2 linked regions of the Callithrix jacchus genome follow. The protein of the gene in region 2 interacts with the protein of the main gene of each other region in a pairwise test. Links are inferred from orthologs where the notes say so. Each region holds a gene or a part of one and is shown on either strand. Other genes may lie near its edges.

Evidence for each region.
Region 1: the proteins of MYBPC3 (region 2) and ACTC1 interact in a two-hybrid assay, tested with the Homo sapiens proteins (2 studies listed by IntAct). The link is inferred for Callithrix jacchus from reciprocal best matches to the Homo sapiens genes MYBPC3 and ACTC1.

The regions. Positions count from the first base shown.
Region 1 is NC_133509.1:52,108,300-52,112,501, forward strand, and holds the start of ACTC1 (actin, alpha cardiac muscle 1), read left to right. Parts: upstream 1-1,372; 5' UTR 1,373-1,433; intron 1,434-2,072; 5' UTR 2,073-2,094; coding exon 2,095-2,223; intron 2,224-3,328; coding exon 3,329-3,653; intron 3,654-4,202. UniProt on the Homo sapiens protein: Actins are highly conserved proteins that are involved in various types of cell motility and are ubiquitously expressed in all eukaryotic cells.
Region 2 is NC_133511.1:112,407,745-112,411,880, reverse strand, and holds the start of MYBPC3 (myosin-binding protein C, cardiac-type), read left to right. Parts: upstream 1-1,217; 5' UTR 1,218-1,272; coding exon 1,273-1,297; intron 1,298-2,416; coding exon 2,417-2,683; intron 2,684-3,335; coding exon 3,336-3,449; intron 3,450-3,818; coding exon 3,819-3,917; intron 3,918-4,005; coding exon 4,006-4,136. UniProt on the Homo sapiens protein: Thick filament-associated protein located in the crossbridge region of vertebrate striated muscle a bands. In vitro it binds MHC, F-actin and native thin filaments, and modifies the activity of actin-activated myosin ATPase.

The DNA.
Region 1 (4,202 bases), on a different chromosome or scaffold from region 2:
TGGAGGAAAAACACGAGCATTAAAAATCAAAGCACCAGGAAAGAACCGAGAATGCAGGGCACCCCAGGGCAAACTGGTCTGTGTCCTTCTGTCTCCGTCTTCCTTCCCCCCTCCTCATTTCAGGTCATTTTTCTTTTTCCTTCTCAGAAGTTCAAGATCTTGCAAAAAATGTTTTCCACAAAAGAGATGATATCTGTCATTTACATCAATGCTTCTCACACTTCAATGTACATACCAAGCAAATGAGGATCTTGCTGAAAAGTGGATTAGGATGGTGCCTGAGACTTTGCATTTCTAGTTCATTCCCAGGTTATGACAATACTGCTCGTTCACAGACTGCGCTTTGAGTAGCAAGGATTGGTGTATTCTTATAGTTTAAGTTGCTGCTATGTTCTCCATCAAAGTATTTGCCTTTTCAGTCCTGTCGCCACCTGGAATGAAGTTGTCTGCCCCAGTCATCTCCCCACCATTAGGCGGGCAAGCTACTTTCTGCTTTTGTTCCTTTATTCACTTTGGCAGCAGGGGATCCTTTTCTGGCTTGAAGACCAGAGTCTGAGTTTGAGCAAAACCCCCGCAGCATGGATGAGGACTACCCAATCAATAATTAGGCTGGAGTAAACCTGGTCCTTTCTCCAGCAAGACTTGGCCAAGCTCTCACAGCAACCCTTTTCTGTCTCTTCCCCGGCTAGACCTGATCCATGTGTGATTTGGAATTAGGTGGCCTTGGTTAATCTCAGTTTTCTGACCTAGATGAGCCCAGCCCCAGCTCTCTGAGTAAAGCTATCCAGGCTGCTGGGGACTAGACCAGAAGGGTGCCCTGTCCCGCTTGCCCCTTTTCCAGACACTCAGATGTGCTGTTGTGGTGTCCTTTGTGCTCATGGCAGCCCTGGAAGAGGAGAAGCCGGTGTCGCTCCCCTGCTGCCCTGGCCAGCTGTCGGGACCCCTCAGCAGAGGGCAGGGCGCCAAGCCCCCCCACTTGCATGTGGCCTATTGTCCCCAAGATTGGTGGGGCTGTGAGGACAGAATCCACAGCCCATTCAGGGAGAACACCCACCCCAGAAACAGGGAGGAGTGGGCTGGCGTCACTTAGTCTTCCCCTGCCCCCTACCCTTCACCTCCTGCCCCTCCCCAGCTCCCTATTTGGCCATCCCCCTGGCTGCCCCCTCCCCTTCCTTACATGGTCTGGGGGCCCCACTGGCTGATCCTCTCCCCTGCACTTGGCTCCAAGAATGGCCTCGGTAGTCCTAGCGAGTGCAAAGGCGACCAAATAAGGCAAGGTGGCAGACCGGGCCCCCCACCCCTGCCCCCGGCTGCTCCAACTGACCCTGTCCATCAGCGTGCTATAAAGCGGCCGTCTTGGAGCCCGCCACCCAGCGCCCGCCACCCAGCACCCGCCGCCCCGAGCCAAGCCTACCCGACCCGCCCAGCGGACGGTGAGTCAGAGCCCGGGCCCTGTGCGCTCCCTCCTGTCTCGGTCCGCAGGCCTTGCCAGACATCAGCCCCAACCCCGCGCCGCGGCATGGCCCGCCCTCGGCCGAGGCCCCGACTCCTGCCGCTCTGCAACTGCTTTTTTCCCCCTACACTTTTCGATTTGGTTCTAAATTGTTTCTCCTGGGCGTCGGTCCTCGCAGGACCCAGCAGGGGCTCTAAGAAGGGGAATTCTGTGGCTCCCTAAGGGGCGTTTGGGTCCCAACTCTCGTGCGCTCTCCCCTCCATCTGTGGCACAGGCAGGGCGGGATGGACAGGGCTGGAGGTCGAGTTCCCAGTTTGTGAAAAGGAAGAAAAAACAGCTGGGGAGGACTAAGGAACTGGGTTTCCTGGGTCCTCCTTGCACCTGGTGCCCTAGGTGAGACTCCTGGCCAGAGAGCCTGGATGGATTGCCCCCTCCCGTCTCCTCCGCGGCTTCTCTCCCTTTTATGACTTGAGGGGAAGAGAAGTGGCAGGAATCTCCCCTGCCCACGCCCCTATCCAGTCCCCGCATCCCCGCTCTGCTCTGTCCCCTTCTCTGGGTGCGGAGAAAGCCAGCTGCACAGGCAGCTGAGCTGGCCCACCCTCCCCTCCTCAACCTGCAGAACCTCCTGAAGCTGTGCCAAGATGTGTGACGACGAGGAGACCACCGCCCTGGTGTGCGACAACGGCTCTGGGCTGGTGAAGGCCGGCTTTGCGGGCGATGACGCTCCCCGCGCGGTCTTCCCATCCATCGTGGGCCGCCCGCGGCACCAGGTAAACTTCCTGCCAAGCCCCTAGTCCTACTCGATACCCCTTCCTGCCAACTCCTCTGTCCAGCCATCTAAGAAATGGCTCTCGCTTGACCCACTTGTGGTGTGAACTCTTTAGGTCAAATTAAGGAAAGGCTGATTCACTTCAAATCCAAGAGAAGGCAAGCAATACCCCATCAAACCCCAACATACTGAGAAATGTACATCTGAGTGGCAGGCCTCTCAAAGGGTCCCACTCGCTGGTGTGAACGCCACCAGCTTCTTTCCATTCATGGCCTTTTGGACTTTTAGTCCTTAGGGTCTTCTCTGCCTTATACACTTCACTGTCTTCCTTGTCTTCCCTTTTCAGCCCTGTTTAAATTTCTAACAATATAACCTCTCCCAACCAATCACATTCCTCTCTCCTGTTCACAGCCAGTTTACAGGGCTTCCCAAAGGTGAAATCTATCTCCTTCCTGGCTGTGGCATTTTTAGAAGCCAGGCGTGACAGAGGCAGCAAGTGCCATGGTGATAGTGACATGCCACCTCGTTTATTAAAAGAAATGCCATGCTCTCTGGATTTGTCACATGCCTGGTCAGGCAGGCTGCCAAGGAGGAGACCTTAGTCCTCAGAGCTGGTGAATGACTCCAGGACAGCTCTGGACAGGCTCAATTTCAGTTAAAGTGAAGATGGCATATCAGCCCATCATTATGTGTTCACTTGAATGTCAAAATCTTTTCTTAGGAGAAATACAATGTGTCATTAATTCAGTCATTCCAAAATGCAGTCATCTATATTCCCTTTGACATGGGTGATGAGCTTAATAATTTAATGAAGGCATATGATATTTTTAAGGTGAGGTAAGGCTCTGCTTCTTCAGTGAAAAAGCTTCATTCTCTCCTGAGTTATATTCTCAACAATAGAATTATACATCTTTGGGGGAGTGGTGGGAAGGTGGAAGATTGATTTTTAAATAATTCTTCTAAATTGGGATAAAATCCTATTGCTTATTATTTCTGGCATTTAAATATGTTCCTTGAATTGGTCACTTAGATATAAATGGACAAGACACTGATTATATTCCTGACATGGTGGGAGCATGATTTTCTCTTATTTTTTCTTCTCATAGGGAGTTATGGTTGGTATGGGTCAGAAGGACTCCTATGTAGGTGATGAAGCCCAGAGCAAGCGAGGCATCCTGACCCTGAAGTACCCCATCGAGCACGGTATCATCACCAACTGGGATGACATGGAGAAGATCTGGCACCACACCTTCTACAACGAGCTCCGTGTGGCTCCTGAGGAGCACCCTACCCTGCTCACAGAGGCCCCACTGAACCCCAAGGCCAACCGGGAGAAGATGACCCAGATCATGTTTGAGACCTTCAATGTCCCTGCCATGTACGTGGCCATCCAGGCAGTGCTATCCCTGTATGCTTCTGGCCGTACCACAGGTACGCTTGGGCTCTGGGGACAGTTACTGATGAATCATATTCCTAAGTCACCAACCTTGCTGTGAAATCAGATTCCCCAGATTGAAAAAAGGATAATCCCTTTCCTCCCATTTCCTAGCAAGGTCTCTGTACTAAAAGTGAGGTGGCAATAGTGCCCTGAGGTTAATTCCAGAGCACACGTATTGTTGGAGCTGATAAACTGTGGAGTTAGGTCCTTCCCTTATTTAAAGCTCAGCACAATGTAGCAACTTGGAGTGCAGCAGTCCTTGGGATGTGTTTAAACCATCATATCACCTGGGTAAGCATCCTCAAGGAGAGTACATTCCCTACAGGGCCTGAGTCAAAAGAGAGGGAAACGCATAAGTCCAGTAAAAACAGAGAAAAACACACTTGGGTGTTTACATAATGTGCTCAGGGCTGATAAGAAGGATGGTCATATGAAAGTGTCCTCAGGAAATTTTTTTCCTACTGTAATAGTTGAAAGGATGAGCTGCAGTTTGTTTCAGATTTAGTGTGCACGATGCTCATTTTTATTCTTTGTGTGTAAGG
Region 2 (4,136 bases):
CAGGCTGGTCTTGAACTCCTGAACATAAGTGATCTGCCTGCCTCGGCCTCCCAGTGTACTGAGATTACAAATGTGAACCATTTCGCCCAGCCCATTTTTATTTTATTATTATTTTTTGAGACACAGTCTTACTCCATTATCCAGGCTGCAGTGCAGTGGTATGATTTTGGCTCACTGCAGCCTCGAACTCCCTGGACTCAAGCCATCCTCCCACCTCAGCCTCCTACATAGCTGGTACTACAGGTGCACACCACCACACCTGACTAATTTCTGTGTGTGTATTTATTTTATTTTAATTTAATTTTTTGAGATGGAGTCTCACACCGTTGCCCAGGCTGGAGTGCAGTGGCATGATCTTGGTTCAGTGCAACCTCTGCCTCCCGGGCTCAAGGGGTTCTCCTGCCTCAGTCTCCTGAGTAGTTGGGATTATAGGTACGCACCACCATGCCCGGCTAATGTTTGTATTTTTAGTAGAGACGGGGTTTCACCATGTTGACCAGGGTGGTCCTGAACTCCTGACCTCGTGATCCGCCCGATCTGCCGATTACAGGCGTGGGCCACCGCGCTTGGCCTTTATTTTTTTAGTAGAGATGGGGTTTTGCCATGTTGCCCAGGCCGATCTCAAAAACTTGGCCTCAATCCACCTGCCTGGCTTCCAAAAGTGCTGGAATTGCAGGCATGAGCCACCCTACCCAGCCTAGCATTTTAAAAATGATAAACCCACTTCATAGGTTGACAATCCTGTGCAGTGGGTGCTGCTGTTACCTGCCCTGCTTTACAGATGAGGAAACCAGGTGCTTTGAGATAGAAGAGATGGCAGTGCCAGGACTCAGGGGCAGCCTGGCCCCAGGGTCTGTGGATGTGGCCACTGCCTTAACCGCTGGCAAGGATGCTGCTGACCCATCAGCCTCAGGGTTATGGGCCAAGCATGCTCCCACCGTACAATATGCTGTGAGCAGGACACACACAAGGCTTGGGGTACCCCCGAGGTTCATCAAGGGTTGGGGAGGCAGAAGCCCTTCTATTGTGCTTCGGGAGTAGGGGGGGGGAAGGAACAAGAGCCAGCCAGGGACAGCGTGGCCCTACCATCTCCCTGGAGAGACCTCAGCTCTCTGGAATTCATCTATATTTAGCAGGTGGCTGGACAAGAGGCAGATAAGCAGTGCCTGGGGAGGGGGGAGGTCTCCATATATAGTGGGAAGGACAGGACCCCACTCACTCCCTCTTAGGGTGGCCTGTGCCTGCTTGGTGCCTGGTGTGACGTCTCTCAGGATGCCTGAGCCGGGGAAGAAGCCAGGTAGCTCCGGGCCTGCGGTTGGGTCTAAGTGTGGGAGCAGGGGGTGTCTACAATTGGGGAGCAGGGCTAGGAGGGAGTTCTTGAGGGAGCTGAAGAAGACATGGCCACTGAGCCCCAGGATGGGTCAGCCAGTCCTCCTAGGTCCTTTTTTGATTCTCAGTTTCTTTCTCCCATCCCTCTGATGAGAGGTGAAGGTAAACCCAGGGTCAGGGACGCAGAGAGGGGACACAGCCAAGATAGGAAGCAGCCGGGTCAACTCAGAACTCAAAGGGACACCATCCCTGCCCCATTTCCTTCTCCTTCCACAGCAGGGATCCCCGCAGACAGAGCTCACAATTATGCGGAGCACAGCCAGGCTCACGCGGTGCCCTCAGACGAGTCTCCACCCACTCTGGGACTTAGTCTCCCAACCTGGGGACTGGGGCGGGTGTGGTGGTGGGTTGGTTCCTCCTGGTTGTGACATTATCTGCTTCATGAGCCTGTATGGTGTGGTCCCCATGTTGGGGGTGATACAGTCCCTCTTCTCTGAAAGAGGACAGTCAGGAGCCCCTGAACTCAGGCCAAGGGCAGGGAAAATCACAGCCCAGGGTCCTGGGCCTGGGCCGTGCCCTTACCAAGGTTGTCCAGGGCAGAGATCCAGGTCCCCATTCCCCAGTGCCCTCCCAGGCCAGCTTTATCTCAGTTGCTGATTCTCAGCCTGAGGTCCCTGGAGGACAAATTTGGCCACATTCCAAAAAGGCAGAGTTCCCTGCCCCCGCCAAGGGCCCCAGATGGTGGGGGAGGGGAGCTGGGCTCCTCACAGCTATCTCCAAGCTGGGAGAGTGGCATATCCAGGGGACACACACAGCACAAAAGTCTTGTGTGGAGGTCAGGACCACCGCCCTGGCTCTCCTGACTATAGGCTGTGTGATCTTGGAGGAGCCACTTAGCTTCTCTGAGCCTCAGTGTCCTCCTCTGAGAAATGACAGAGTAACTGCACCTACCTCGTAATAATACTATAGGAGTATTACACGAGGGGATGCATGGTAACTGCTTATCACAGTATTTACTAAAAGGGGCTGCAGGGGTGGGGTGCACGCCCCAGCTAGGGGCTGCTGTAGCCTCCATCTGGCCCTTCAGTCTCAGCTTTCAGCAAGAAGCCACGGTCAGTGGAAGTGGCAGCAGGTGGCCCTGCCGTGTTCGAGGCCGAGACAGAGCGGGCAGGAGTGAAGGTGCGCTGGCAGCACAGAGGCAGCGACATCAGTGCCAGTGACAAGTACATCCTGGCTGCAGAGGGCACACGACACACACTGACAGTGCGGGAGGTGGGACCTGCTGACCAAGGGGCCTACGCAGTCATTGCTGGCTCCTCCAAGGTCAAGTTCGAACTCAAGGTCATAGAAGCAGGTAAGATCCTGGTCAGCCTTCCCTGAGGTTCAGGCTTCTGGGGGGAGGGGCAGTGAGGTGCTTCTTCATCCATCCAGGGAACGGGAGGTGCTTTCACAATTTCTTGCCTTTGCTGTGGCTGTGCCCCCACACCCCCCACCAGGAACGCCCTTTCCCCTTTTCTGCACATGACCTCTCTAAGTACCCCCATATGCCACCCTGGCCTCCTAGCCATGCTGGAGGTGGGAGAGGTGAACAAGACTCAACCCCACCCTCCCCCTGCAGACCTCCCTGGGGAGATGACCAGGCACAGATGACACCTTGTGTGCCAGCAGGGAAGCCCTGCCGGAGGTGTGGGTGACAAGGCACACAGCCCAGTCTGAGGGGCTGCTCCAAGGCTGGGGCAGAGCTAGGGCAGGAATGGACCTGGAGCTGTTAGGGGCAGGTGCAGCGGATGTGGGGACTGATGGCTGGGGGCAGGGAGGAGAATGTGAGAGTCAGGCTGGCTCTCCAGCTCAGTATGCGCTGCCTCTGAGGGGCCCGGGCACTGGGGGTCAGACAGGACGGACTTTCCTCGTTCACAGCAGGCTCAGGGGTCCAATGCTCGGGAGAGAGAGTGTAGAGGGGTCTCTGGTTAGTGACTACACCACAACTCCCATCCAATCCCCTCCAGAGAAGGCAGAGGCCATGCTGGCCCCTGCCCCTTCCCCTGCTGAGGGCACTCAAGCCCCTGGAGAAGCCCCGGCCCCAGCTGCTGAGCTGGGAGGAAGTGCCCCAAGTCCTGAAGGTGAGAGGGGCAGGGAGGGGCAGAATCTGTGGGGAGGGGGTGTCTGGGGCAGGTCTCAAAAGCCTTTGCTTGACCAGGTAAGGTGGCTCAGGCTTATAATCCCAGTACTTTGGAGGCCAAGGTGGGTGGATCACTTGAGGTCAGGAGTTTGAGATCAGCCTGGCCAACATGGTGAAACCCCATCTCTACCAAAAAATTAGCTGGGCATGGTGGCACATGCCTGTAACCACAGCTCAGGAGGCTGAGGTAGGAGAATCGCTTGAACCTGGGAGGTGGAGGTTGAAGTGAGCTGAGACTGAGCCATTGCACTCCAGCTTGGGGGATAGAGTGAGATTCCGTCTCAAGAAAAAACAAAGCCTTTGCTCGCAGGGTCAAGCTCAGCAGCTCCCAGCGGCACCACCCCTGAAGCCCCCGATGACCCCATTGGACTTTTCGTGATGCGGCCACAGGATGGCGAGGTGACTGTGGGTGAGTGTGAGTTGCTGTGCCCAGCAGGGGATGGGAAGGGGGGCAGCAGGACACTCCCCAAGCCAGGCCTGTCACCCTGCCCTCGCAGGTGGCAGTATCACCTTCTCAGCCCGAGTGGCTGGGGCCAGCCTCCTGAAGCCACCCGTGGTCAAGTGGTTCAAGGGCAAGTGGGTGGACCTGAGCAGCAAGGTGGGCCAGCACCTGCAGCTGCATGACAGC